Linked DNA regions of Mytilus edulis. The protein of the gene in region 1 purifies or fractionates together with the protein of each later gene. This does not show direct contact. Links are inferred from orthologs where the notes say so. Each region holds a gene or a part of one and is shown on either strand. Other genes may lie near its edges.

Region 1 (16,607 bases):
AAGCAAACGTCGACAAATGAAAAGGTTTTTAATGACTATCTGGAAAAATTGATGCTGTGCAACATGCATCTTTCGAGTCTGAATAGAAACCGGAAACGCAGATGTATCAATTTGATTGTAATATACGAAATGAATTCAGAATTTAGATACGATATTTCTTTACAGGAAATATATAAGTTTTTACTTTTAAACTTTTAAAGTAATTCTAAATTATCGTTACAGCAGTACTCGAGTTATTTACGATGAAATAATATTTACTGTTTTGCGTCTTATTTTGTACTTCTTAAAAAAGGGGGATGCTGATTGCGTAAGTCAAAAGAAAGCACGTGTTCGACTTGTTAAACTGTTTTCTTTGTAACTGGATTAATTTATTAATTTATTTATTTAATCTAAATGATCATAATCATTTGCTGAAACTTAGTTGATTACTTCGACAAATGGTTCGTCTATCCTCAGATAGTATTCTCCTGTTTGGTTTGTTGATCTACCTGTACAAGCTCAGGTATAAGTAATTAGCGATCTTAATCCGGATATCCCTCAGGCGTTAGAACTGTATTGGATTATAACATAAAAAGCCTAAGGGTTATGCAATTACATGCATTTGATTATAATTGATAAAAAAAATGGCGTCGGGCTACAAAAAACGATGAAGTTTTGAACGATGGCGGAAGACAATTTAACGATGGCGCAAGACAATTTAACGATGGCGCGAGTCATTTGACGATGGCGCAAGACATTTGAACGATGGCGGGGCTCCATCGTTAAACAGGCCATGGAGATCCCTGTGTATATATATATATAATTATCAATATACTAAATGAACTTAAACATGTTAATTTCCAATATATACTATAGTCGCCGTCACGTAAAATTGGCACCATGTTTTTAGTAAAAAAAAGTTTAAATATCGACCGCGTTTACTAAAGATCATGTTTTTCAATTAGCGGAATAAAAATCCTGTCCAAATATCCACTACTGTCCTACCTTTTATTGTGTTTGCACTGTATAATCCTGACCTTCACATTTTTCAACATTATTTACAGTGTAAAAACCGCCATCTTGGTTTCTATGAGGATCCCTTATTCCATAACATTCGTTACTCTCCGGTAATATCATTGTCATTGATGATACAATTTCCCGCGCTTTTTTACATAAAGATGACGAAAAGCTCCGAGAGACACAAGAAAATGGAGAGCATGTGGAACTCCACGGCAACACTTCCGGTAATAACAATGTCGGATTCCACCATACATAATAATCTTGAATTATGTGAAGGTCAGAATTATACAGTGCAAACACAATAAAAGGTAGGACAGTAGTAGATATTTGGACCGGATTTTTATTCCGCTAATTGAAAAACATGATCTTTAGTAAACGCGGTCGATATTTAAAGTCATAAGAAACGAGTGACCGGTGAAAAACAATGTTCTTCCAATTCTTGAACCAATGCATACAAACATCATAAACTTAGTCTTCTGTGCACGAATTTATGATTTTCTTCTTGTAAATTTCGTATAATAGTCAATTTTTTTATTTCAATCGGTCAGTGTTGTGAAAATATGGCAGGTAATTAAAGTTCGTGTTTTGAAGCCGAAGTTTAACGATTGTCACCTGTTTGTCAACAATCGACAAAAAATCAACAAAAAAGCATGGAAATTGAGCACGTGTTTAACATGTAAATTCGTATAATAGTTTATTTTAAGGACATTCATGGGTATTGTGATCACCGGATTTTTACGAGATGGGTCACACTGAGGTCACTTTGCATACGGAAAATATATCGGGGGAATTGCGTCCTGGAAGCAAGCAATTAAATTAAAGTAAACTTCTTCTAAATATGAATAAATTAAAGAATTTTCTTCAGAAAAAAGTATATGTACATAAGTTTTATAATGAAAACTATCCAATGAGTTATAAAAAAACATATGCATTATTTTTTTTAATTTGAGGTTTCTTATGACTTTAAAGGGAAACTTCGCAAAAAAATCAAAAATTGATATTATGTTCATTCTGTATAAAAATGCTCAAATTCATAGATATTAAAGTTTTATTCCGCTAGATAAGCTATCACCATCGATTTTAAATTTAGAGTATCAATTCTCAGCGGTCAGCCATTTTGTGTTCTTTCCCGATTAATAAAAACGATATGTCTATAAACCACAAAGAAACAAAACTACAGTAACCGATGTAGTCGTAATTGCGTGTCGATATCTTGTCAATCGTACGGTTGTTTTATCCGACTAACTAACTTGATACGGAAAATATTCTTATTTTTTTTAAATTACCATGGTCTGTTGTTTTTAAACTGTTGATATTGGAATTAGGTGAAAAGTCAAAGTTGAAATCATAAATAAGTGTTCCGTGAAAATTGTTTTCGAAAATCTAATTTGTTCATAATTCTTTAAAGTAATAAACTTTTTTCAAATATATTTTGATCTTCCCTCATCTGATCACCAGCATGGCTAAAGGTATTACTTCCAAAGGTATTGTGAGGGGTGTGAGGTGACACGTCCAGGTATTCAAGCGATTTCCTGTCGGGCTTGCAAGTTCATGCATCGTTTCACTTCTGCAGGTATTAATCAGTGTACACGGCTGATAACTTATAACTTATAACTTTCCATTTTGAACTATCAGATGTACTAGAACACACCCGCGAAATCGCGGGCATATACAGCTTGAGAAATGTTGTTGGATGATTTTTTGTAAAAGATACTACATGTATGTATGGGGAATTTCATAAAAGGTATCAAAAGCCCTCTCCTTTTTTTTCCAAAGTCCGATATTTGTTTCCTTTCTGTTAAATTTAATTATTTTCCTGTTTCTGGCCTCAGACCACAATTATTCTTCTCCTTTGCTACAACGCATCTTTTGGTAAAAGTCAAATTAAATTAAAAAATTTGCACCGCTTCAAACATGAAATAAATGTAACTGCTTATATATGGACCATTATTAGTCTAATAAAATATACTTCTAGGACAATCCATCAGTGTTTTTTTTCTTTTGAGAGCCTTATTAACATGCCAATGGTAGGATATGAATCTTGTATAAATGACTAAAACCATCTAAGGCTAATTTGAGGGAGTGTCGGAGGGGTTCTGATCCAGAAATCCCGGGATTAAAATCATGAAATCCCGAGATACAGAATTTAAGGAAATTCATATTCGAAATCCCGAAATCGAAAAATATATTCCCGGATCCCGTAAGGGTCAATCCCCAAATCCCGAACTTAAAAACACCCGATCCCGACGTCCTGAAAAAAGGTCACGGTCCTGCCTCCCTCGAGCTCTCATCTCTACCCTACTTTCATTTTTGCCAAATCACTATTACTTTCGCTTCCAACAATAAACTGTTATGCCCATTTATAGGCATTATGTTTTCTAGTCTGTGCATCCGTGGGTTTCTTCGTTCGTTAGTCCGTCCTTCTGTCCCGCTTCAGGTTAAAGTTTTTAATCGAGGTAGTTTTTGATGAAGTTGAAGTCCAATCAACTCGAAACTTAGAAAATAGAGTGCCGATGTTGCATCCGTGTACTATATGGACACATTTTTGTTTCCCCATGTTTTACTTATCTTAGTATATATGCAACTGGCGTGACCCTTTAAATAGTAAACATTTCAAAGAAAACAGTAGACAGAATACAGAGAGTCTCTATATATATATGTAAGTCGTATAATCGTAGTTTATATGTAGATAAACTCGAAAAATAATTGTCCACTCTAAGGAGGTATAATAGTTGTGGTTCTCGCGATCTAAACACCATGATATGGAAAACACTCTGATTGGCTTATTTATTTTTCATTTTTTTTTATCTATCATACGATTGGTTGTACTTGTGCATGATTCAAACCGGAAGTCTTATCTGTGACTAAAAGTCAATCTGATGACGGAATCAATATCCGGACTCCTTTTTTGTCGTTTTTCTCCCAAAATAACTCAATCTGAATAATCATAAGAATGGATGACAAATGCGACTATGCATGTTACCTATAGAACACAGAGGCATGATGATTAATTTATCTTGGAAGGAAGAGAAGCGACACACAAAATGAGGTCTTCTCGTTTAATAGTATAGATAATATACAACTCTGTCTTACTTGTCATTACTAAACTCATACGCTTGTTTATAAATAACATTTCTGGTGTAAAGAATATTATTCATAAAAATATAAATAATATCCAAAAAATAAGATTTGATGAAATTAAAATCTATTTAAATATTTTTTCCAAGGGTGAATTTGGGAAAATGTAATAAATACTCATTGTCAATAGTGAAGGACAGATTGGAACAAACCAGAAATATTGATTTAAAAAAATGTACGCACTTGCCGACGATTCGTTTATACGACTGGATAGAAAGTTACGGAACTATAGCGCAATTTAAAATATATAGTTTGTATACATTGAACATAAGAAAAAAACATATATTTTGAATAAATAGGGGTAAAAGTGTTGTAAAAAGACTAGTCCACGTATGCCAACAGTATGTAATCATCGAATGTCGATAGACTATTGTATACCAGAAGAAGAAGAGAACCAATTTGATTTAAATTCAGGTCGATGTATAACTTTTGCTTTGGTTCATTGAAGCTGTGGACCTAGTAAAATCACAGATTTATATTTCAATAAGATTGTTCATGAACAAAGGAAGGAATTCGTCATCACAATTGTTATATATGCCACTGGACGAACACTAAATATCCCCAGGGGATGTGAATATTTTGCTGGGAAACTTTAGAGTATCAAAGTTTCAAATTATTTTCGGGATTTATTTTCTTTCTTGGTATTCAATAACAGAAAAATAAATAAATTACTTGTCCGCTAAATAGGGGTATTCTTGTCAGATAAAAGACTTTTAGTTATATTTAAAAAATAGGGAAATATGACATTAAATTGGTTCTGTCCTTTTTTTAAACATCGTGAAAACACTGAGATGTGTGTCTAAGGTGAACGCCACAAGAACCCTGTAATACTAGTACGAGAGTATAGCATGTAAACATTCCTTCTCAATAATATGGTTGTATTGGAAATCTTTTCATACAGATTGACAACTCATTGTCCGATATGCATGTAATATTTGCCACATGACGCCCATAGTTCTTTCTACCATCACCATCTTATTCTTTGATATTGCTGTAAACATCGATGGTTCACACCCAAAAAAAGTGGGAGTAATGGACCTTCAGAACTTCTCCGTGTTATACACTTGTGAAATATATCTGAGACGAAATTTCTGTATTGAAAAGAATCTACATCTCACAAACAGGATTTTCAAATAACGATTTTGAGTAATCACCTTACAAACCAATATAAACGTATGGCAAGATATAACCATGAAGGGATTTAGTTTTTGTCAGACGCAAGAACTCATCACTATATCATAAACATATACGTATATATATGCATACAGTTTCAAATATCAAGAACAAGCGGTCGATGTCGATAGTCCGTTTTCTAACTGTTCAGAGTTAGACATGTCACTTGTTCATTCTTGGAAGCCTTCATATTCCCCGTCTAACGATGGGAACTCTTTCTGATTGTGTTGATTATAAATGCTTGTATGGTAATTCTGTCGTTTATCTGTACAAGCGGTTGCATTTCCTCTCCTTTCCCAACAAACAAACGAACGAAACGCTACTAGTCTGCTTTCTCTGGAGCTCATCCTGAATGGCTCTTATACGTCAGGAAACTTACATGTATACTAATAATGATTGTTTCAAGAACAACGATGTATGGACGAACTATTCTAAATTCGTCAATATCAGTTATGCATGACTAAAATATAACTTTTATTACAACTACTGTATTACTTATTTGGATTAATGACGGCTATCATGTTCAACATTGCACAAATATTATCATAGAATTTAAAAAAAAACCCCTCAAAAATCCTCAAAAGAAATAGTGCCTTAGCTTAGATAATTGGTATTCTTTTCACAAAAAGTTCGTGTAAATGATTGTCAAATGAATTTAATTATGTAAGAATAAAATGTTAAAAAGAAACTAAAAATGCATGTTGTAGTTGTATTTTTTTGTCAATTAAAAACTTTAAAATTGCAATAGTTTTATTAGCATTTAAACACAGCCAGATTTGAATACAAGTTAAGAAATTCCGGTAAAGTCAATGATATCAAACAGATCTACAATGGTATATCAAATTGGGTAATATTGCATTTAGTTTTTATTAAAGATTAAAACTACTATTGTTTGCTTCATATTTGAATCTTTACGCCAATTACCGCTAAGAAAGTAATGAAAAATTGTTTCCTTTTATTTTTATACTCTTTCGGAATTACGAATCTGAATTTTATTTTCAATTAATTTACACAATTTAATTATTGTATCTTTATTCTCATCGTGTATTAAATCTTAGTGTATTAACATCGTGACAGCATACTCTTTCTAATCCTTTCTGCTTATCCTTTCCAAATAACAACATTTATACCTGTGTACACTTGAACTCACACCTGTGGCTAAATAGCTACAAGGTAAACGAATTGACCTCAAGCCGAGAAATATACAGTGACCTTTACAAAATAATATACACACTCTGCTCACACATTAGTTGCATTGAAATGATTATCAAAACAATAACGGTAAATAGAACTGAAATATTTTCACTCCAATATCAGTAAAAATGTTCAATAAATATTATATGAAAAAAATCTCAACAATAATTAATTAAATTTATTCAAACACATTTACTAGAGATAATTTTATAGGAGTTTAATTCAATCAAAACAAAACGGTATATGCATATTCATTTTCGTTCATTCTTATATTGTGGTTAATAACTACGACCATTCGTCAGTTGTGCGCTTTTAATTACGTATATTGTCGATAAGCTATAAGAGTTAAACAGATTTTATTTTTTCCCAGAATTCAATAAATCGGGCTAATACGTCACGACCCACTCGAGAATTCAACCAAAACAGTTACAAATACTTGATTTTCTCCGTTATTAGAAGGAATGTAAATTTAAAACTTTGCAAATGTGTTTTTTATGTTAAGATGAACATAATTAGATGATAAGTAAAAAATCGCGGAATTTCCCTTTAAGAAAATTTTGACAAAAAACATGGTGCCAATTTTATGTGACAGCGACTATAAATGAACTTAAACATGTTATAATCATTAATTTTGTTTCTTCCGGTCTCGTTTGTTTGTCTTGAGACTTTAGGTATTCCTAACAACAGGACCAAAATCGGAAACATTAGACTTTTTCCGTTTCTTTTTTAACATTAAAAAAATTGATGATATGGACTTCGTTCCCTTTCACAGGAAGGCGTCAAAGCAAAAATTAAAAATAGCTAGCCTTCCAAGACGTCATAATTAATTGGACTAAGGTAACACCTGCCTAATATTAGAAGCTATGGATAGTCGACCTTCCCATATGGACAGAAACACGTGCCTATGGCTGTGGATGCACTTCTACACTTTAATGATATCAAAAAATTATGTAGCCGACAGGTTGAAATAGTCAATACAAAGGTATTTAAATGGTAAAATGTTGTAAATGGATTTAACAATGTAAAATAACCTCTTCTCTGTATGAATTTGGATCACGTTTTATCAAGTTTTGTAGCTGAGGGAGATTGTTTGGCAGTTTGTTGTGATTTCTGTCAGACATTCTGTTCTGTTTACATCAACCACGTGTGTCTCTTTAAACCGGAAATATCAATGACTGCACCAACTAAGAACCATTAATGAAGTTTTAAGAACACTACACAGGAATGAAATATTCATATTCTCCATTTCCATTCTCAATTTTACATTTTCGTCATAACGTATTGGTATAGATTTTTTTATTAAGTATTTGAGACAAAAATTAGTATTGATTTTATTTATACAATGTGATTTACAATTCCCAAAAAATGATATTGAAATTTTTTATTAAGACCGTTTTGCTTTATATTTTTGTGGATTTTAGATTTTAAAAGTCTGGATCACAAAAGTGCTTCAGATAACGAACAATTTGTTTGAAATTACAAGTTTTTTTTCTACCCTGAATTAAATGTTTAGAATTTTTTTTTTACAAAACTGGTGCTAGTTCTCAGATACTGGTAGTATGTCATCGTTTTTCCCTTCACTTGTACCAAGTGCTTCAGATCCTTTGTGGTTTACCGTTGATAAACCATGCGATGACGAAGAAGAAATTTCAAAACTGGAAGAAGAACATACTTCATGGGTAAATTTTCATTTATATTTTTTTTGCTCACCAACAGTTAACAGTCAGGGGACTTACTGAAATAAGTGATTTTTAAATCACTTATTTGAGTAGCAAATTCGAGGTTTTGTCACAAATTGGAATTTTGTATTTTTTTCAAAATTTTAAACACATAGGTTTAAATAATATCTTTTGATTAGTAAAATTGAAAAAAACAAACTTTTTCTTTCTTTTAAGTAGCAAGGTTTATGCCTTTGATGCTATCATTTAGCTTAAAATTCTATTTTTGTTGAAAAAAATGCTATAATAATGGCTTTACATAATGAACTGATACTTTCTTAGAAGATTTTTCCCAGCAGTGGGAGTATTTTTCCTGTGAAGTTCAAGGTTTCATCTTTCAGATTATGTAATTAAATTCTACTGTTCGTGATAAAAATTTCACTGTTCGGGGGTGTTGAAATTAGAGGGGGTTATTACAAGAATGATACTTAAAGAAGTGATTTTTGGGAAGGAAATTGAGGTCTGATACTTAAACAAGTGATTTTTATGTCATTATCCTAGATTCAGTACAAGGTCATCACCTGAAATGACCTGGTCATCCTAGACAACACAGATGTTGGTTCTGATAAGTTTAGAAACATAATTAGTCCCTGGCTCATTAGTATTCTATATTTAAAGCTACAATAAAATTAAATCACTTCTTCTAGTGATTAATTTGTACTACTTAAATAGGTGATTATTAAAGAAAGACAACTCTGACTTCCAACCTTTATGGAAATAATGTTACTTGAATCAGTGATTTATAAAATCACTTATTTAAGTAAGTCCCCTGACTGGTTAATTGTTTTCAATTTGTATTGGATTTATTGTAAAAGTAAGAAAGATATGTAAGATACTAACAGCCAAATAATGACAGACAAACTGGGAAAACATCAACCTACGAAACACAATATAAAAAAATAGACGTCACTAAGCAACACAAATCCCTATAGAAAAAAACAGGGGTGTACTTAGCAGGGCTGTTATCTACATCTTCATCTTACGACGATCCATCAGCACATTGATGACTAAACGTCTGTGCATCGCAAACAGATACTTTAATAATCAAATATAATAACTAATGAGTGCAATAATTCAGAAATAATTTTGTGCAAAAACAAAACAAAAATTAACACATTTACATATTTACAAACAGGTTGGATATCTAAATATACTGACTCTGGATCAGTATTTTAAACTGATCCAGGGTAACACTGATGACGTTTTGTGGAAGTGAGTTCCACAGTACAACTGTGAATGGAAAAAGCTTTACTTGAACATGTTGAAGTAATCTGTTCTAGTGCTAAATGTTTGGTATTGTAATAATTAGTGTACATGTATCTGGTGTTTTTGACTGGCTGTGGTAAAAGGTAAAGGTAAGGGTCTACTGCAATGAGATGGTGTGAGATTTTGTACAGCATAGTTACTCGATTGATGTTTCTGCGAGTTTCAAGTGACTTCCGTTGAAGATGGTCAATCATGGAAGTGACACTACTGGTGTTGTGGTTCCTGTTGGTGACGTAGCATGCTGCCCTACTTTGTACTTTTTCAATATTGTTTTTAGCTCACCTGGCTTGGCGTCCGTCGTCCATCGTCATCGTCGTTAACTTTTACAAAAATCTTCTCCTCTGAAACTACTGGGCCAAATTAAACCAAACTTGGCCACAATCATTATTGGGGTATCTGGTTAAAAAAATGTGTGGCGTGACCCGGCCAACCAACCAAGATGGCCGCCATGGCTAAAAATAGAACATAGGGGTAAAATGTATTTTTTGGCTTATAACTCAAAAATTAAAGCCTTTAGAGCAAATGTGACATGGGGTAAAATTGTTTATCAGGTCAAGATCTTTCTGTCCTCAAATTTTCAGATGAATCCGACAACCCGTTGTTGGGTTGGTGCCCCTGAATGGGTAATTTTAGAGATTTTTTGCTGTTTTTGGTTATTATCTTGAATATTATTATAGATAGAGATAAACTGTAAACAGCAATAATGTTCAGCAAAGTTAGATTTACAAATAAGTCAACATGACCAAAATGGTCAGTTGACCCCTTTAGGAGTAATTGACCTTTATAGTCAATTTTTAACCATTTTTCATAAATCTTAGAAATCTTTTACAAAAATCTTCTCCTCTAAAACTACTGGGCCAAATTAATCCAAACTTGGCCACAATCATCTTTGGGGTATCTAGTTAAAATAATATGTGGCGTGACCTGGCCAACCAACCAAGATGGCCGCCATGGCTAAAAATAGAACAATTGGGTAAAATGCATTTTTTGGCTTATAACTCAAAAATTAAAGCATTTAGAGCAAATGTGATATGGGATTAAATTGTTTATCAGGTCAAGATCTTTCTGTCCTCAAATTTTCAGATGAATCCGACAACCCGTTGTTGGGTTGCTGCTCCTGAATTGGTAATTTTAGAGATTTTTTGCTGTTTTTGGTTATTATCTTGAATATTATTATAGATAGAGATAAACTGTAAACAGCAATAATGTTCAGCAAAGTTAGATTTACAAATAAGTCAACATGACCAAAAAGTCAAAGAAATAAATTTATAATAGCCTTTCAAGACTTCATAATTATTTGGACTAGAGTGAACTCAGGTACACCACATGTGACTCATGTAAGTTCAAGTTATGGGATAATTCTAAAACTCAGCAATGACAGTGATTAAACATTCCAGGAAAAGTGGTCGAGTTTGTGGCCCTAACAATATTTGAACACATTAACTGTTGTTATCTCTGAAACTGATATTTCATAATGGTCAACTAACACATGATGGCTACAATAAAACCTAGAACCTGTGGTCAAATAGATCCTTATAAGCATAAACCCTCTATCAAGAAATCAACTGAGTTATATAACCATGTGTAATCTTAATACAGGCACAGCTAGCATGTTCCCAGCCAGATAGAGATGAAAAGTTCACAAATTGAAAGCTGAAATCATCTCTTCTGTTGTATATTTTGTTCTCAACAGATCCTCTGTGTCAATTCTAGATGTAAGTCCAGGGATTGAAGTTAAGATTTTGGCAATGGCTTAAAATTTGTAGCCAATATTTGTTCTGTATGTACTTATTCTTAATCACGACACAAGTTTGTCATGATGGCAGTGCTGAAATCCATGATAAAGAGTTTAATTTGCAGAAAATTCATGCAATAATTTTGACTTTGCTATAAATATTTTTTTAGATGGAAAGCATTGCAAAGAAAGACAGCAATATTGTTCCTATTGGAAAAACAGCATCAGAGGTATGTTTTCTATATTCTAAAGTAATCATGGTAATAGATTACAATGTAAAAAAATATGAAATTGATCATATGAATCTTTTTCTAAATCACCAGTCAAGCGTAAAGGGGAAGTGCTGTTTTCATTTTAGTTAATAATTCAGGGGCAGGTTCCAATCCCGGAACCCCCCTGGATCCGCCAATGAATAATTAAATACAGAGGCTAACATTTTCCTACATCATGTACATGTTACAAATTTGAGACTTTTTTCTGCAAATTTTTTGCATTTATTGCAAACATATTGGTTTACAAAGTTGTTTTTACATTGGGTAAATGCAATGAATCTTCTTCCTAATGAAAACAATTAAATTGCTCAAGTTACCATAATAAATAGCAGTGAAAGCACACTCTCCTACCTGTCCTCACAATACCAAATGTATTTCTGACATCTGATTCATAGTTTAGTTAAGACCTGCTTTGATACACAAATAAATTGATACACAAAATGTAGGCATGTGTCATTAAACTATTGTAACACAGTTTTCTACTAACATACAGCCATTACAGGGTAAAACGAGGAATAACAGGCGTTGCTTTCAAAAATAATAAACAACCATGAACCATGTTAACACAATACTGACTACATTTATAATTTAAGTGAGTACCAATTTTGGAAAACTTGAATTTTATGGATATATGTTTTCATAAAATTTGTATCCCAACTAATATTGAAGGATACAGGAACAGTCACAATATTCATGATATTGATAAATTTATATGGTAAGTATATGAAACTAGAGGCTCTAAAGAGCCTGTGTCGCTCACCTTGGTCTATGTGAATATTAAACAAAGGACACCGATGGATTCATGACAAAATTTTGTTTTGGTGATGGTGATGTGTTTGTACATCTTACTTTACTGAACATTCTTGCTGCTTACAATTATCTCTATCTATAATGAACTTGGCCCAGTAGTTTCAGAGGAGAAGATTATTGTAAAAGATTACTAAGATTTACGAAAAATGGTTAAAAATTGGCTATAAAGGGCAATAACTCCTAAAGGGGTCAACTGACCATTTCGGTCATGTTGACTTATTTGTAAATCTTACTTTGCTGAACATTATTGCTGTTTACAGTTTATCTCTATCTATAATAATATTCAAGATAATAACCAAAAACAGCAAAAATTCCCTAAAATTACCAATTCAGCGGCAGCAACCCAACAACGGGTTGTCGGATTCATCTGAAAATTTCAGGGCAGATAGATCTTGACCTGATAAACAATTTTACCCCCGTCAGATTTGCTCTAAATGCTTTGGTTTTTGAGTTATAAGCTGAAAACTGCATTTTACCCCTATGTTCTATTTTTAGCCATGGCGGCCATCTTGGTTGGTTGGCCGGGTCACGCCACACATTTTTAGCTCACCTGGCCCGAAGGGCCAAGTGAGCTATTCCCATCACTTTGCGTCCGGCGTCCGTCGTCGTCCTCTATCGTCCATCGTCGTCCGTCGTCCGTCGTCGTTAACTTTTACAAAAATCTTCTCCTCTGAAACTACTGGGCCAAATTTAACCAAACTTGACCAAAATCATCATTGGGGTATCTAGTTTAAAAAATGTGTGGCGTGACCCGGTCAACCAACCAAGATGGCCGCCACGGCTAAAAATAGAACATAGGGGTAAAATGCAGTTTTTGGCTTATAACTCAAAAACCAAAGCATTTAGAGCAAATCTGACATGGGGTAAATATGTTTATCAGGTCAAGATCTATCTGCCCTGAAATTTTCAGATGAATCGGTCAACCCGTTGTTGGGTTGCTGCCCCTGAATTGGTCATTTTGAGGAAATTTTGCTGTTTTTGGTTATTATCTTGAATATTATTATAGATAGAGATAAGCTGTAAACAGCAATAATGTTTGGCAAAGTTAGATTTACAAGTAAGTCAACATGACCGAAATGGTCAGTTGACCCCTTTAGGAGTTATTGCCCTTTATAGTCAATTTTTAACCATTTTTCATAAATCTAAGTAATCTTTTACAAAAATCTTCTCCTCTGAAACTACTGGGCCAAATTAATCCAAACTTGGCCACAATCATCTTTGGGGTATCTAGTTTAAAAAATGTGTGGCGTGACCCGGTCAACCAACCAAGATGGCCGCCACGGCTAAAAATAGAACATAGGGGTAAAATGCAGTTTTTGGCTTATAACTCAAAAACCAAAGCATTTAGAGCAAATCTGATGTGGGGTAAAATTGTTTATCAGGTCAAGATCTATCTGCCCTGAAATTTTCAGATGAATCGGTCAACCTGTTGTTGGGTTGCTGCCCCTGAATTGGTAATTTTGAGGAAATTTTGCCGTTTTTGGTTATTATCTTGAATATTATTATAGATAGAGATAAACTGTAAACAGCAATAATGTTCAGCAAAGTAAGATTTACAAATAAGTCAACATGACGGAAATGGTCAGTTGACCCCTTTAGGAGTTATTGCCCTTTATAGTCAATTTTTAACCATTTTTCGTAAATCTTAGTTATCTTTTACAAAAATCTTCTCCTCTGAAACTACTGGGCCAAATTAATTCAAACTTGGCCACAATCATCTTTAAGGTACCTTGTTTGAAAAATGTGTCCGATGACCTGGCCATCCAACCAAGATGGCCACCACGGCTAAAAATAGAACAGGGGTAAAATGTAGTTTTTTGCTTACAACTCTGAAACCAAATCATTTAGAGGAAATCTGACAAGGAGTTTAATTGTTAATCAAGTCAATATATATCTGCCCTGAAATATTCAAATGAATTGGACAACCTGTTGTTGGGTTGCTGCCCTCCAATTGGTAATTTTTAAAGAAATTTTGCTGTTTTTGGTTATTATCTTGAATACTATTATAGATAGCGATAAACTGTAAACAGCGATAATGTTCATCAAAGTAAGATCTACAAATAAGTCCACATGACCTAAATGGTCAATTGACCCCTTAAGGAGTTATTGCCCTTTATAGTCAATTTTTAACAATTTTCATTAATTTGGTAAATTTATGTAAATTTTTACCAAATATTTTTCTCTGTTACTAATGGGCAAAGTTCATTATAGATATAATTGTAAGAAGCAAGAATGTTCAGTAAAGTAAGAACTTCAAACACATCACCATCACCAAAATACAATTTTGTCATGAATCCATTTGTGTCCTTTGTTAAATATGCACATAGACCAAGGTGAGCGACACAGGCTCTTTAGAGCCTCTAGTTTAAACTAGATACCCCAATGATGATTGTGGCCAAGTTTGGTTTAATTTGGCCCAGTAGTTTCAGAGGAGAAGATTTTTGTAAAAGTTAACGACGACGGACGACGACGGACGCCAAGTGATGAGAAAAGCTCACTTGGCCCTTCGGGCCAGGTGAGATAAAAAGACGCTAAGCCTTATGTAAACAAACATTGTTAAAAGAATCACTTATGAAATTTGTTTTGAAAGTAACTTTTATTTTTTCAGCACATGGAGGATGAAGAAGAAGACGAGGAAGATGATGATGGAGATGATGATGATGAAAGTGACACAAACGATGATGAATTAGATACAGACATGTTAGATGACAGGGAATCAGGGGATGAAGCAGGTGATTATCTCCCTTGTAAATTAGTTTTAATCCATGAGTTCTTTTTGTGTTTTTAGTGTTGTTTGCTTGCATTGATACAGACAAAAAAAAAAGAAACACATAGTCAAAATTTGTGAAGGTATAATATTAAGACATAGTACAGTTCTTGAACATCTTGATCATTAGGCTTCCAGTTCTTTCTTAGTTTGCCAAAGAATAATTTTGCATATAAAAGTGTGAATATTAGCTTTTTTTAAATGTTTTTTTTCCATTATCATGATTATGGCATAAAACTTTCAAATAGACTGCATATTATTTGATTTACTAATTCAACACTTATCAGTTATGCTTTGGTTTAAAAATATATGTAATCTTCCTTTAATTTATTACTGTCAAAAATTAAATGTATATTTATTTTGATAGGCTTGATTTCCATTTATGAACACATTGGTATATATTATATTCCTACTATAATATATCATGTATACATTATAAAATATATAGAAATGATATAAGGCCAACTAAAATTAATTAGTAGATTTTCATCCAAATTTTTGAAAAAAATGGGGCGGGTGGGAGGATTTAATTTTTTAATTTTTATTTCTTATGAAACCTCTTGTGACGTGTTCTTCAAATATTCAAGTGTAATAATAAGCTTATATTATGTATATACATATATATATAAGGAATCGTACACAATATTTCAAATCTTAACATGAATGAAAATCTCAATTGGCAACCATTGTTTTACATGTAATTGCTGCTTTAGAAACCTAAACAGCAAAAACATAAAAGAAGAATGCTCTCTTTAGTTGGACTACCTTCACCAAATTTAGTGTCTTTTTAAGCGACCATTTTTTTGTCTCCATAAAATGAAACAAATATGCAACTAAAGAATTACGAGTTCAGAATAAAATGAAACCGTTTTGAAAACGAAAGGGTTGGTGCTTTTAGGATTCTTTTTATAGATGCTAATATAACTAATATGTAAAACATGAACTTAACCGAAAAGGAGAAGATGTTTAATGGCTCTATTGAGGATATTGGGACAGAAGGTGTGTGTGCTGTCTGTCAACAAAAAAGACATGGGTAAATCTAAGTAGTGTGACGGGATTGCTTCCCCTAGAAAAACTTAGTAAACACTTAGTAAGCCGTAAGCAGTTGAGCTAAGGAAGTACTTCTTTAGCTCAGTCGGTTAGCGCGCTGCCTTGTAACACAGAGGTCCCGGGTTCGAGTCCCGGTGGAGATAAGCAATTTTGTAATGAAATTCGTGCTCTCCGATTAAAGTATGTTTGCCGACTTTTTGAACTGACTCAATTATACTGTAATAAATCTAACAAGTTCGTGCTTGCGTCATTTCATTTATTCATTTCTACGAATGTGTCCCACGATTTGTGCTCTTTGGGTATAATTCACAGTCCAAAATTCCTTCCACAAAGTCATTTTATCAATACAAAAATCAATAGTTTTCTAAATCACAGAAATGTGTGTCATGCCGCGATTTGCATTCTTGGACACAGCGTATTACTTGTAACCCGATTATTTCATGCCCATCTTGAAATCAATCTCTATTCTCGGTAAACGATTTTGT
Region 2 (16,113 bases), on another chromosome or scaffold:
AGGTGATGACCTTGTACTGAATCTAGGATAATGACATAAAAATCACTTGTTTAAGTATCAGACCTCAATTTCCTTCCCAAAAATCACTTCTTTAAGTATCATTCTTTTAATAACCCCCACTAATTTCAACACCCCCGAACAGTGAAATTTTTATCGCGAACAGTAGAATTTTATTACATAATCTGAAAGATGAAACCTTGAACTTCACAGGAAAAATACTCCCACTGCTGTGAAAAATCTTTTAAGAAAGTATCAGTTCATTATGTAAAGCCATTATTATAGCATTTTTTCAACTAAAATAGAATTTTCAGGTAAATGATAGCATCAAAGGCATAAACCTTGCTACTTAAAAGAAGCAAAAAGTTCATATTTTTTTTAATTTTACTAATTAAAAGATGTTATTTAAACCTATGTGTTTAAAATTTTGAAAAAACTACAAAATCCCAATTTGTGACAAAACCTTGAATTTGCTACTCAAATAAGTGATTTAAAAATCACTTATTTCAGTAAGTCCCCTGACTGATAACATATGTATGTTACATGTTTCTAAGGGACAATATATATACAAACTTTATTTTGTTAAATTTTTTACAAGTTCTATTGATATTATAATTTTCTTTATGTATACTAAACTTTGCTAAGATATATAGCAGTTCATCATGTTCATAGTTTACCAATCATGCATAGTACACCTATGTTATTACAGAAAACATATTCCTGCAATAACCAAAGGGTGTTATTACAGCTTCTCTAAACCTCTTAAAAGACTTTGCTCAGACATATATCACAATGTATTTCAATTCATTGTAAGAAATGATGATCAGAACTTGTAATGAGGCACTGCGCAAGATTCCAAGTAATTCCCAAGTGTCTCATTTATTCTCATATAATAAGTTACATGCCTGTAATAACTAAGCCTTGTTATTACAGATTAATTTTCCCTTAAAAGCCTTGTCTCATTGATTTACTATGGTTGATCAAAATTGAATTAATGGAATTAGAAAATTAGTTATCAAGGTAATATATTAAGCCACTGCGCAAAGTTTCATGTATTCCCAAGTGCCCACAAAAGATAAAATATTTATGATATATTTAACTGATAACAAACGTATGTTATTACAGATTAAAGGGAAATTCCGCGATTTTTTACTTATCATCTAATTATGTTCATCTTAACATAAAAAACACATTTGCAAAGTTTTAAATTTATATTCCTTCTAATAACGGAGAAAATCAAGTATTTGTAACTTTTTTGGTTGAATTCTCGAGTGGGTCGTGACGTATTAGCCCGATTTATTGAATTCTGGGAAAAAATAAAATCTGTTTAACTCTTATAGCTTATCGACAATATACGTAATTAAAAGCGCACAGCTGACGAATGGTCGAAGTTATAAACCACAATATAAGAATGAACGAAAGTGAATATGCATATATATACCGTTTTGTATTGATTGAATTAAACTCCTATAAAATTATCTCTAGTAAATGTTTTTGAATAAATTTAATTAATCATTGTTGAGATTTTTTTCATAAAATATTTATTGAACATTTTTACTGATATTGAACTGAAAATATTTCAGTTCTATTTACCGTTATTGTTTTGATAATCATTTCAATGCAAGTAATGTGTGAGCAGAGTGTGTATATTATTTTGTAAAGGTCACTGTATATTTCTCGGCTTGAGGTCAATTCGTTTACCTTGTAGCTATTTAGCCGCAGGTGTGAGTTCAAGCGTACACAGGTATAAATGTTATTATTTGGAAAGGATAAATAGAAAGGATTAGAGTATATGCTGTCATGATGTTAATACACTAAGATTAAATACACGATGAGAATAAAGATACAATAATTAAATTGTGTAAATTAATTGAAAATAAAATTCAGATTCGTAATTCCGAAAGTGTATAAAAATAAAAGGAAACAATTTTTGATTACTTTCTTAGCGGCAATTGGCGTAAAGATTCAAATATGAAGCAAAAAATAGTAGTTTTAATCTTTAATAAAAACTAAATGCAATATTACCCAATTTGATATACCATTGTACATCTGTTTGATATCATTGACTTTACCGGAATTTCTTAACTTGTATTCAAATCTGGCTGTGTTTAAATGCTAATAAAACTATTGCAATTTTAAAGTTTTTAATTGACAAAAAAATACAACATACAACATGCATAATTTTTTTTTAGTTTCTTTTTAACATTTTATTCTTACATAATTAAATTCATTTGACAATCATTTACACGAACTTTTTGTGAAAAGAATACTAATTATCTACGCTAAGGCATTATATCTTTTGAGGATTTTTGAGGATTTTTTTAAAAATTCTATGATAATAGTTGTGCAATGTTGAACATGATAGCCGTCATTAATCCAAATAAGTAATACAGTAGTTGTAATAAAAGTAATACTTTAGTCATGCATTACAGATATTGACGAATTTATAATAGTTCGTTCATACATCGTTGTTCATGAAACAATCATTATTAGTATACATGTAAGTTTCCTGACGTATAAGAGCCATTGAGGATGAGCTCCAGAGAAATCAGACTAGTTGCGTTTCGTTCGTTTGTTTGTTGGGAAAGGAGAGGAAATGCAACCGCTTGTACAGATAAACGACAGAATTACCATACAAGCATTTATATTCAACACAATCAGAAAGAGTTCCCATCGTTAGACGGGGAATATGAAGGCTTCCAAGAATGAACAAGTGACATGTCTAACTCTGAACAGTTAGAGAACAGACTATCGACATCGAACGCTTGTTCTTGATATTTGAAACTGTATGCATATATATACGTATACGTTTATGATATAGTGATGAGTTCTGACAATCAAAGAGCTGAAAGCTCTGAGGAAAAATGACGCCACTGCCTCTAATATTGGGATATTTTTTATGCAAGTCTTGATTTTCACATACCGTAATAAGTTGAACATTGCAACATGTCTCGTAAGAATATAATTGATATTCGTATATGAGTGTGTGAAGTGAAGATGACAACTGACTGGTTTTTTTTTTAATACAAATGAATAGGTCAAGAGTCAAGACTACCTAAATGATCTACAGTATCCAATGACTACTGGCATGTTTTTTTGGTACAAATAAATAGGTCAAGACTACCTGAAAGATCTACAGTGTCCAATGATTACTAGCTGTTCTTTTGTACTAATAAATAGGTCAAGACTATTTATATGATCTACAATATCCAATGACTACTTGCTGTTCTGTTGTACGTACTAAATAAAGACTACCTGAATGATCTAAAGTATTCTAATTAATGTGTATTTTTTTTTTCTTTCAATTACATTTTTCTAATTCAAGAATACAGATTACTAGCATCCTTTCAAACCAAATGATTATGAAGAGCCTGTTGTAATAAGCTCTTATACCCCACTAGTCCTATAAACATATGACTTCACATTCTTCTTCAATTTTTAACGTTTTTATACTGATATTTTCATTTTTTTATTTTTTTTTGAATGCGAAGTGTGACACATTGATAGTAAAAAAAATATTATCAGAACAGTAAATAGAAATAGTAAATAATGCTCCTGAGGTCATATGTTATAGGACTAATTACCCACATACTCATTAAATAAGTTATTAGTGACATACACAAAAGTAGTTATTTCTGTTACTTGAAGCAAATTCTATTTCTGTAGATTTACACAATATTGTTATACTTGTTTTATTTCACATTGAAGATTAGACAAAAAGGGATACTCCTTTGATTTTTTCATTTCATGTCAGTCAGGTCCCTTTATATGAAACTTGAAACCACTTCTCTGCCATATTGATATTTTATAACAACTCTGCCCATGACCCATATAATTTGATATTCATTCTTTAACCATATATTATAGTAAGCTAGTTTTTTTTTATTTTACACTAATCCACAATCTTTCATGTTAAATTTTGTCTCCATTTAAGTTTATGCCATTGAACCATCATGGTATTAAACACAATCCCAAGTAATTGTGCTGTTACAGTGGGTCACCATATATTCAACTTGGGTGGCATTCCAGTTATTGAAATTTGTGTCAGATTGGATAATGAACTAGACCTTTAGGAATTGATCTTATAATTTAATATGGAGCCATCGTATGCGACCCCTACCCGGTAACAAAAATAAACATGTCAAGCAGCAATATTTATCACCAGAGATTACAAGTCAAAAGAGGATGGATAAGTCTCCAAAATATTTGCCAAACTGGAACTACAACAAGAACGAACAAAACGTTCAAGCCAAAGTTAGTATTTATGTACAAAGAAGTTGAGGGGCTGATTCGCGCTATTGAACCAGACGAATTCCTCTTAAAAACATGTCCGAAGAGAACCATAACTGCCGAGGAATTCAAAGAATACCACGAAACAATTATTGTGGAAAAGCAAGCAAAGAATAACTCTTACTGTGAGTGTATTGACATTCCGCCAAGTAAAACACCGTACAATATTCAAACTCACTTTAGGGCCTTAATAATATGGTACAAGTCAAATGGGCACCTGGTTAAATCGACATCTAGTCAAATCGGCACCTATTTAAAGCCAATTAGGCATCCAATAATAAATATAAATAATTCAACCTTTAAAAATGTGAATAAACATGATAAAATTAGGTTAATATTTCTATCAAACCCCCTTCCTTATCTACCTTTTCTTGGGTAAATACTGTAAAATTTCTGGACAACCCATTCCTTATTTTTACTGTTTTTGCTTAAAATACTGTTAAAATATATATTAAACAAATCTTACATGGGTGCCGAATTGACTATATCAAGTGCCGGTTTAACCAGGTGCCAATTTGACTAGATGCCGATTTGACTATACCGGGTGCCGAATTGACCAGGTGCCGATTTGACTAGAATTCCGTAAGACAGTGATCGCACCGATCAGGGCGAACGATCCCACCCCGCCAATAAAACCGTTGTATTAAAGCCAGCATCGATATCGACAATTTATGCACATGTCAATGCACATGTCATACAGATACAGTCTGTTACAGACTCTACTGTTGTAACTTTGTAAACAAAGATTGAGTAGGATTTCCGGTACTTATTTCCAATAGAAAGTGGACCAACAGGGACAATGTAATTTGTAAATAGCCAAGAGAAATCTTTCTGTGTTGCCCGACACTGCGTAAAGTTTTCGCGCGGAACCATTAACATTCAGCAATGAATCCGGTTCCTTACCTGGAAGAAGAAGAAGAAGACACATTATATTTTCTTATAAAAAAGGCAGTGGTTTGTAAAAAGAAAAGACTATCAAGTTTTCCCCGATTAATTATAGATTTTTAATGTTTTAACAATGTTTTAGTTTTACTTCACATAATCAATAAAGTTATAAAAATAGATTTATGAGTATCTTAACAACATTGGTTGGTACACTTCCATCTTTTTGGTAATAAGAAGGACCGGAGGTATGCAAACTGGTTCCCGGTTGATTACTACACAAAAATCATAATAAAAGCAAATTCCAGTTTAAATGTAAAAAGTAGATACGAAACCAAGAGCGGTAGACGGAGAAATGTAATGGAAAGTAAATACGAACCAAGCGCGGTAGGCAGAGAAATGTAATGGAAGTTCAGTTCACTAGTATAGAAACATGCCGCTGAAAGCGTCATTTTTCAAAAACTAAATTCCTTCATGGTTATATCTTGCCATACGTTTATATTGGTTTGTAAGGTGATTACTCAAAATCGTTATTTGAAAATCCTGTTTGTGAGATGTAGATTCATTTCAATACAGAAATTTCGTCTATATATTTCACAAGTGTATAACACAGAGAAGCTCTGAAGGTTCATTACTCCCATTTTGTTTGGGTGTGAACCATCGATGTTTACAGCAATATCAAGGAATAAGGTGATGATGGTAGAAAGAACTATGGGCGTCATGTGGCAAATATTACATGCATATCGGACAATGAGTTGTCAATCTGTATGAAAAGTTTTCCAATACAACCATATTATTGAGAAAGAATGTTTACATGCTATACTCTCGTACTAGTATTACAGGGTTCTTGTGGCGTTCACCTTAGACACACATCGTTTTAACGATGTTTAAAAAAAGACAGAACCAATTTAATGTCATATTTCCCTATTTTTTAAATATAACTAAAATTCTTTTATCTGACAAGAATATCCCTATTTAGCGAACAAGTAATTTATTCTTTTTTCGGTTATTGAATACCAAGAAAGAAAATAAATCCCTAAATTAATTTGAAACTTTGATACTCTAAAGTTTCCCAGCAAAATATTCACATCCCCTGGGGATAATTAGTGTTCGTCCAGTGGCATATATAACAATTGTGATGACGAATTCCTTCCTTTGTTTGAGAACAATCTTATTGAAATATAAATCTGTGATTTTCCTAGGTCCACAGCTTCAATGAACCAAAGCAAAAGTTATACATCGACCTGTATTTAAATCAAATTGGTTCTCTTCTTCTTTTGGTATACAACTGTAGTCTATCGACATTCGATGATTACATACTGTTGGCATACGTTGGCTAGTCTATTTACAACACTTTTACCCCTATTTATTCAAAATATATGTTTTTTTCTTATGTTCAATGTATACACGTATATATTTTAAATTGCGCTATAGTTCCGTAACTTTATATCCAGTCGTATAAACGAATCGTCGGCAAGTGCGTACATTTTTTTAAATCAATATTTCTGGTCTGTTCCAATCTGTCCTTCACTATTGACAATGACTATATATTACATTTTCCCAAATTCACCCTTGGAAAAAATATTTAAATAGATTTTAATTTCATCAAATCTTATTTTTTGGGTATTATTTATATATTATGAATTATATTCTTTACACCAGAAATGTTATTTATAAACAAGCGTATGAGTTTAGTAATGACAAGTAAGACAGAGTTGTATATTATACATCTGATAGTTCAAAATGGAAAGTTATAAGTTATAAGTTATCAGCCGTGTACACTGATCAATACCTGCAGAAGTGAAACGATGCATGAACTTGCAAGCCCGACAGGAAATCGCTTGAATACCTGGACGTGTCACCTCACACCCCTCACAATACCTTTGGAAGTAATACCTTTAGCCATGCTGGTGATCAGATAAGGGAAGATCAAAATATATTTGAAAAAAGTTTATTACTTTAAAGAATTATGAACAAATTAGATTTTCGAAAACAATTTTCACGGAACACTTATTTATGATTTCAACTTTGACTTTTCACCTAATTCCAATATCAACAGTTTAAAAACAACAGACCATGGTAATTTAAAAACAGTAAGAATATTTTCCGTATCAAGTTAGTTAGTCGTATTAAACAACCGTACGATTGACAAGATATCGACACGCAATTACGACTACATCGGTTACTGTAGTTTTGTTTCTTTGTGGTTTATAGACATATCGTTTTTATTCATCGGGAAAGAAGACAAGATGGCGGATCTCGGAGAATTGATACTCTAAATTTAAAATCGATGGTGATCGCTTATCTAGCGGAATAAAACTTTAATATCTATGAATTTGAACATTTTTATACAGAATGAACATAATATCAATTTTTGATTTTTTTGCGAAGTTTCCCTTTAAGGAAAAAAGAGTAGACAACTCATGAAAGTGTCTGTAATAACACATGCTTGTTATTTTTCTCTATTAACTTATTTAAGTTAGACCCTTGACTGTTTAATAAATCTAACGAAACAATAACGCAACATAGCTGTAGACACAATTATTATTGGTACGCTCATAGTTAATTGGTTCCTAACCCAAAATAGCATTTCTGCATTTAGATGTCCAACATAACTATAACTTTTTTATTAACATTACATGTACGTTTCAACGTAATCATAGCCAGTGTGTTAAACTTATAGTGATCCTTTAAATAAACAAACTCATTATCATATAGTAAGATTTTTTAATGTTGTCTTAACTGGACCTAGGATAATTCCTTATGGGATTCTGAGTCTGAAGCAGATTTTTGTCACCTTGGAATCCCTTATCATTTGCTTGTCAAGCCCCATCAAAATTAATCAAGTCTACTCAAGAAAATATTTGCCAACTACATCACCTCCTTTCACACCATTCTGTAAACCAGAAGATGATAGCGTTTCTTTGTTTACATTAAAAATGTAAATGACGTCACAACTGAAATCCCTAACAGGACCAAAATCAGAAACATTCGGTATTTCCGCTTCTTTTTTAACATGTTTAACAGATTTTGAAGTTAAAATATGTTTGAATTAAAAAAATAATTCATACAGATTTCGTCCCCTTTCACAGGTAATGCCTGCCTCATATTACCTGATGATAGGGTTTCTTTGTTTACATTGAAAATGACATCATAACTAAAAAGGACCAACAACGGAAACATTACGGTATTTCCGTTTCTTTTTTAACATTAAAATATATTGAAATTAAAAAAATAATTGATACGGACTTTGTCCCCTTTCTCAGGTAACGCCTGCCTCATATTATTCCCAGACTAGACTTCTAAATTATTATGTGAACAACCCCGAAAGTATAGAGTTTACTTGAAATTACTTCATTTAAACCATTTTTAGATGATAAAACAGCTAATTTAGGTCGGAGACGTCCTTTAAGAAACCATCCAATGACAAGACCGACTCCTATTCCTACAGCAACATATCCTGTTTGCTCTTTACTGAAAAATGATGTCATTTTTGCTATTTATTTTCAGCACATTTATTTTGCTCAATGTTACCTTTTTCCTCTAGTTTCAAGTAAAAATATGACTGTAATAAACACTAAAGTGATTGAGATCGTGTTTCCCTCGGAACATGCGGACTTTTCCCATCGCAATCGAAGATAAATTAGAGAAACCCGAAAGAAGGAAGTAGTAAAAATAAATAGTGGAGGAAAATGAATCTTTTTGATCATGTGCGGTTTTTGCACGAATCTGAGCTATTTCATGATCTTAAGCAGCTTGTACGTTTATTTAGAAAACTATGATAAAATTGTATCACCCTTAACAAGGCCAATAATGCCGTTAAACACAGGAACATGTTTCTATCAGTATCTATGAAAATGACAATGCGAAGATACATTGTATATAATTTATTTTGATATTCGACCTTCCCATTGATAGAAACAAATGCCTGTTTTCAATTGTCCAGTGTTCTCCCCAGGTGCCGCATCGCCTTCATAATATTTTCGTAGATCCTGCAGCGTCTTAATTGGCCGCTGTCCCTTAATCATACCTGTCAACCTCTGAAAATGAAAAGTCAGGTCATGACCTCCAATGAGAAAAAAAATCTCAGGTCATAACGCGTACGACATTTTGCGGGCTCAATTGAAGAACAAAAATATGTTTACATATAATTTATATAGTCAATATGTATATGAAACAGTTAGAACATGTATACAAGTTTATTTCAGACTATTGTTATATTCCATAGTAGCAGACTTGGCATTCTTTAAAAGAACTGCACTTGGTTTCAGTTCATAGCAATGCAAATGTGTATTCATTTTACAAGAAAGAAGAGCACACAGTGTATCCTTATTAAGATCAGCCCTACACTCTGTAGCTATTTTCTTTACTAAAGAAAATGGTATCGGGATCGTTCGCCCTGATTACATGTTCGCCCTAGGTTCGTTCGCACTGAGTTTGTTCGCCCTGGTATTCCGTTCGCCCTGAGTTCGTTCGCCCTATTCTCATAAATGATATGTATATGTTATATGTTTCATTAATAAAAGAAATGTATATTTATATATATTAAAATTTATGTTTATCTATAAATGATATGTATATGTTATATGTAATATGTTTCATTATAAAAGAAATGTATATTTATATATATTAAAATTTATGTTTATCTATTAAAGCTGAATACAGAATATTAATTAAATAAAATTCGTGGCTGCATTGTTACACTTTATTTTAGAATTACTTTTAATTACTGTTGATTGAATTTTGATTGCTGATTAGGTATAATTTGAAATCTTTGATATCACTGATTGTTATATGAATTGTCTTTGATGGATTAATAATGAAAATACAATTTTTCTCAAATAAAATAGTCAGCTTGGATGGGTAGAAACACTGATGTACAAATTGTTAGGCATGAAAGGGAAATTATTTTCGCAGCTTGGCTTCTTTGATCTCAAGTGTGTTTTGACAAATTTGTTATATATGGAAGTGGATTATGGAACCGGTGCATTATTCCATAAACTATGGAAGTGTACATGTGTATTTCTTGTGACAGAGAGGTCCGACCTCGTCAACATGCAGCATCATGTGACGTATGTGAGAAATGGTAGCATAGATTGTGTGGCACTGGTAAGTGTTTTAATTTATAAATATTAAATTTTGTTGCAACTTTCATCAGGAATTAAACAAGAATATATATATCTAGATATAGGAAGATGTGGTGTGAGTGCCAATGAGACAACTCCATCCAAATAGCATTTTATAAAAGTAAACCATTATAGGTCAATGTACGGCCTTCAGTATATACCCATATATATAATTAATGAACTAAAGTAACTATATTAAGATAAAAAAAGTCAAATATATATCTATATAACTACGTTAGTATGAATGTTTTCTCATATTTAGTATTATGTTCTAGTACAAGTAGATTTATATATATAAAAAATATCAATGTAATTTTATATTGATGTTTATATTGTTCACATGTGAATATATTTATAATATATAATTTGAATTTTAGGTATAACTTTTCAAGCTTACAAAGACGCCAGACATGGCAATGACCTACAGTTCATTTGCACACCATGTGAACAGATCAACTGGCCAGCACCAGAGCCAATAGTTGAGCCAGCACCAGAGGAGGTGTGCGAAGTGCAGTTCGGAATTGATCGATCTTGTTATAACTGTTACTGAATATTTTTATATTGTTAAAATGTATCAATAAAGTTAAATATATAAATAACTTAGTCTTTAGTTGTTTCATGTCAAATACTTTGTAGTCTTTGAAATCACAGAAACTTATCCTCGTAGCAGCAAGACAACATAATAACTTAGTACATTTAAAAATACAATGTAGTGCTGAAATTCCGAGACACTTATTTCCCAAAAGCAGCAACACGTAATACATCATAAATAAATATTCGGTGAATGTAAACAGTCTTCAACATATGCCATTACATACAAATAATTTAGTCTTCAGTTGTTTTACATTTAAATATTCGGCGAAATTGTAGACTGACTTCAACATATTCACTTAAAAACCCACAACACAACACTATAAAAAAAATAAAAATCGTAAATATTCGGCGAAATTGTAGACTGACTTCAACATATTCAATTAAATACACACAACACAACACTATAATAAAAAATATAAATCAGGGCGAACATACCCAGGGCGAACAGGTATCAGGGCGAACGGTCTCAGGGCGAAACGGAACTAGGGCGAACAGTAACTAGGGCGAACAAAAATCAGGGCGGACGGACCCGGATTCAAAGAAAATGCCCTCTCACTGTCTGCATTGCTGTTTGGCAAAACCAGTAATGTTTTAGCAAGTTTTGACAAAACAAAAAATCTTGGCTTGTTTTCAACTACCACTTTGTTATTTTCAACTGAAAGGGCCCTCTTTACTATTTGGGTGGTTTTAGTTTTTCCACAGGAATAACCTGAAGCTATTTCACAGCTCAGGTAAACAGTCCTACATTTTGACTTTTGGTTACATTGAAAAAGACCGATAAAACCGAAGGCCACATTACTTCTAAATAACGGAAACAATTCCGGTCAGAAATCCGGGTGAAACGGGAAATGTTAGAAATTCCCGGGACCCGCCGGGTAAAGAAAAACTCCCGGGTGAGAGGTGAAAATAACGGGTGTCACCCGCAAAAAACGGGTGAGTTGACAGGTATGCCTTAATACTTGATCCCACAGCATGTTAATTTTCACATTTTCATTATAAATGTTGGTTAAAATTGTCAAGTTGCTGATCACCGCTGAGAGGTCGGTCAGTGTTGCGCAATAACTGATAATTAGTGTTACCTGAGCCACGCTTATCTCAGCCTTATCGGACTATGTTATCATGTAATAGCGTAAATGATCATCAAGAAAATCTGTATTTTCAGAAGAGAATTAAAAAAATTAAAAACTTCAGTGCAGAAATTGAAGAAATAGATCGCAAATGCATTGTATTTACACATCGTGTGTGTGATTACTTGATCATTTAAATAACGAATATTTTCATTGGTCGAGAAGAAGAATCTATAAATACATGACCAATGAACGTATTGAATACACGTGATAAATTTGAATACACATTGCTAAAGATATTTACGATGAAAATTATGAATGAGAGTATTTGTAGTTGAAAAAATTAAAATAAACTTGGAATAAAGATAACGAGGAGTGATTTAAATTAATAGAAAGTGAAAAAATGTTGATTACAAGCTCAAATCGTCTCAAACTGTCATGTTTTTAGAAATAAAATTATCATTGAACATCGATCGCGAATCCATCCGTCGGGAAATATGTCATGGTGTGTTATTTGGCTTACATTTGTGTTAGTGTTATTTTGGATAAAAAATATGTTTTATTTTAAGAAAGAAAATTTTATGTTTGTATTTAGTAAAATTTTAATTAATGTGTTTATTTAATTTTACCTGTGCTGTGTCATTAGTACTCAAAATGTCACAGTTTGCTCAAAGCACTTTATTTTGAAATATTAATTGTAATTAGCATATGTCACTTTGAAAGTTTAGATTTTTATCAAAACATTATAGGATTAGGCTTTGTTAATTAACATCTATTTTTACTAATGAGAGTATTATTAACATGTCGGGACAAGTTGAGTTATTTCGGATTTTAGTATAAATATTGTTGGGAAATTTTGTAAAAGCAGTCAGTGTTTCGGAAGCGTAACCTCACACTACTCATGTCATTATACTGGCCCTATAAGACTGTCTACCAGTCTACCAGTTGACTGTGTAGTGTGAGACAAAATTTATCTCTAGACTCATAATTTAACTTTAGAAAATTATACTTTTGAGAAACTTTTATTTTGAGACTTTTACATTCTGAAATTGAGATTAAGTACATTTTATGATTTAGTAATTTTGGCATTTATTTTATATTTTACATTTTAAAGAGAAATAGTTTTACTTTGGATTTGTTATTTTGAATTGATACTTTGTACTTTAATTAGATTATTATTATTTGGCATTGTTTATTGATTGATTTGTTATCATTCATTTAAATCGTTATCGTTAATTAAATTATGAAAACCTTCCTTGCGTTTTAGCTATGCCTATCAGAACATTAAGTCTAGCGATAGACTGACCCCCTGTCCCTTGGTTCCAGCACATACGAGTTAGCTCCCCCTTATCTAACAGTGCTCTCGAGTGGACCTTGGTGACAAATATGTGACAATCCAATCAACATGGGTAGAATCGCCGCATCTTCTGTTTAATGTCATAAGTAAATAATTTCAATGGTCTTAACTTTAACCAATTTGTAAAGTTTCGTTTATATCAGAGACATATATACACATATGTCTCTGTTTATATCTACCTGTCAAAGATAGGTTTTAACAATAATACACACGGAAGCGTAATGTCAAACTACGGAAACTGTTCAGCTGTTCATTAAAATATTTTAATAAAGACTTTTTTATTTAAAAAGTTGTATACCAAATATCTAAACCATATTCGATTTTAATAATTCTGAATAAACGTGTTCTCTGCAAAAAACAAAGGCTGACTTCTAAGCAAAAGGCAGATGATGGAAGTAAAAGTTTTGTTTTTCAGACCAATGACTTCTAATGAAAAGGGGAATACGTATACAGCTCTGTCTACACCGTCAGTATTATAAGCAGATGGCATTGCTTCTCCCAATCCCAACCGAGCTTAAGTAATGGCAAGTGATAACAGCAAGCACCATGTTTCTGGTTTCAGTGACAAGTGGCTCACTGAGTTTTCATGGCTTAGAAATGTTTAAGGGGGTATAAGCAAATTATGAGAGGGGGTTTTTCAACCCTAAAGAGGATAAAGACAATGTTGAGGAACAGATTGTCCAACAAAATAACACTATCTTAAACCAATAACCCTAGAAGGAGCAGAGAGTACATAGATGAATATTTATATTTTGACTTCTTTAATTGACTGAATATAAATAACTTTTGTGTTTAAAATCAATTTATTTCATATATTCTTGTAATTCATTAGTACTCTGCATTATTAAACACCTAACACAATGCATTAAAATTTATATGACATGTCATGATTTATGACTAATTGCTTAAGATCACAAAAGTTCACTCTAAAAAAAGAGTTACGTGCCCTTGAATTTTGCGCCTTAACAAAATCCTGGGGAGAACACTGTTGTCATCAGTCGAAGAAATTTGTCAAAATACCAAAACAATGAAAAGATAAATAAGTCCACAAAACAACTATACATGAGACATGTGATATTAGACTGAGCAACATGAACACTAGTCCAAATAATTATGATGTCTTGAAAGGCTAATATGAGGCAGGCGTTACCTGTGACACTGATGGATAACTCGGACTAAAACAAAATCGGACTATCACAAACTCGGCCTACAATTATTTGTATGCAGAAATATATTGAACAAACTCGGACTATGATGTGTTTTTAAAGGGCAAGGTTTCAATTGTTGATGATAAAACATACACCATGTACATCATTTGTACATGTAGTCTGCTAATTTTTTTTGTTTTTTTTTTGTAACTTACGTCTTAGTAATCATATATACATTGTACCAGTACTCGCACATAATTTTATACCAAGCTATGAAGTGTAAAGGACTTATATATTTATTTCAAATTGAGATTTTTTGTAAATATATTTTTTTTTGTAGTCATGCATTGTGATATCGCTGTGTGATAACAACCCAATCACAGAAGTTTTCTCCTTATCTCAGAGGTACCAGTGTATGGTTTACTATGGAAACTCTCTGTATCATCTAGGAGAATTTTTGAGGGCAGAGGTGAGTCTTTGTTACCATGGTTTCCATAAACACAGCAATACAGATCTTCATTAAAACTCAGACAGTATATTATGTTCCTTGAAATATATGTCATGAATGTTGACATTTCAATCTGTTGATGAAATTATTAATTATAAAAAAATATTTGTATTTAAGAATTAAATGCTTGTTTTTGTAAATTCATTGGGGTGTAAAAGCGTTGACCAAAGTACATTTTGTATGAAGCGCTTCCGCTTCATTCTAAAAATTTGCACACGGTCAACGCTTTTACAACCCTATGAAGTTAAAAAAAGAAGCATTCAATACTTATAATTAAATTTTTTAGCTATGATCATGAAAACACGAATTTTATAATTGTTTTATTTAATTCACCTGTGCACTTTATTGTGGGACCACGTGTTATCATGAATGAAAAGTTGTATTGAATGATGCAATTGCTTAAGGAATAACATGTGATGTGCAGTTAGCCAATCAGAATAAAGTATTATAATGAAACATACATCAAATGTAATTATAAGTGTATGACATTGTGTAATGAATACTTGTTAATCAATAAACTAACTCCCTGAATATTATATATGAAAATAAGATGTGGTATGATTGCCAATGAGACAACTTTCCACCAAAGACCAAAGGACATGGATGTATACAACTGCAGGTGACTAAGGCCATCAATATTGAGTGTAACCGCATGATTTATTCACCAGTTCAATGTTGGAGTGGGCAACATGAGTTGTCAATACTTTATATAATTTACGTAATTGTGTTTTAGTTAAATTGAAATGTTTATGACTATTTTGACTTGGGCATAATCTTTCTTGTGTGTTTTATTTTTGCACAATATTCAATTTGTGGTGCAGAGATATAAGATGTGGTATGAGTGCCAATTAGACAACTCTCCATCCAAGTCACAATTTGTAAAAGTAAACCATTATAGGTCAAAGTACTGCCTTCAACACAGAGCCTTGGTTCACACCGAACAGCAAGCTATAAAGAAAGGGCCATGTATAGCATAAATGGACACTTTTGTTTTGTTTGGTTCATGTGAAAAATTCTATATGAAATTAATAAACTTATGCATACCCTTTATATAATTTATATACATTGATGTTTTATTTATTTTCAGAATATTTATAAAAAGGCTCTGTTATTGAAGAAGGCACTCAATAAGAGTAAAGGGAAG

The links.
Region 2: the proteins of anaphase-promoting complex subunit 15-like (region 1) and anaphase-promoting complex subunit 7-like purify together in Homo sapiens (affinity purification with mass spectrometry; 3 studies listed by BioGRID and IntAct, with this or other methods). This does not show direct contact. The link is inferred for Mytilus edulis from reciprocal best matches to the Homo sapiens genes ANAPC15 and ANAPC7.

What each region holds. Positions count from the first base shown.
Region 1 is NC_092351.1:36,924,497-36,941,103, reverse strand, and holds the start of anaphase-promoting complex subunit 15-like, read left to right. Parts: upstream 1-7,956; 5' UTR 7,957-8,063; coding exon 8,064-8,183; intron 8,184-11,393; coding exon 11,394-11,453; intron 11,454-14,913; coding exon 14,914-15,037; intron 15,038-16,607. Other genes in the region: protein SDA1 homolog, read right to left, coding at 7,536-7,625. UniProt on the Homo sapiens protein: Component of the anaphase promoting complex/cyclosome (APC/C), a cell cycle-regulated E3 ubiquitin ligase that controls progression through mitosis and the G1 phase of the cell cycle.
Region 2 is NC_092349.1:56,632,997-56,649,109, forward strand, and holds the start of anaphase-promoting complex subunit 7-like, read left to right. Parts: upstream 1-8,799; 5' UTR 8,800-8,861; coding exon 8,862-8,927; intron 8,928-14,801; coding exon 14,802-14,930; intron 14,931-16,056; coding exon 16,057-16,113. Other genes in the region: peptidyl-tRNA hydrolase 2, mitochondrial-like, read right to left, coding at 8,523-8,660. UniProt on the Homo sapiens protein: Component of the anaphase promoting complex/cyclosome (APC/C), a cell cycle-regulated E3 ubiquitin ligase that controls progression through mitosis and the G1 phase of the cell cycle.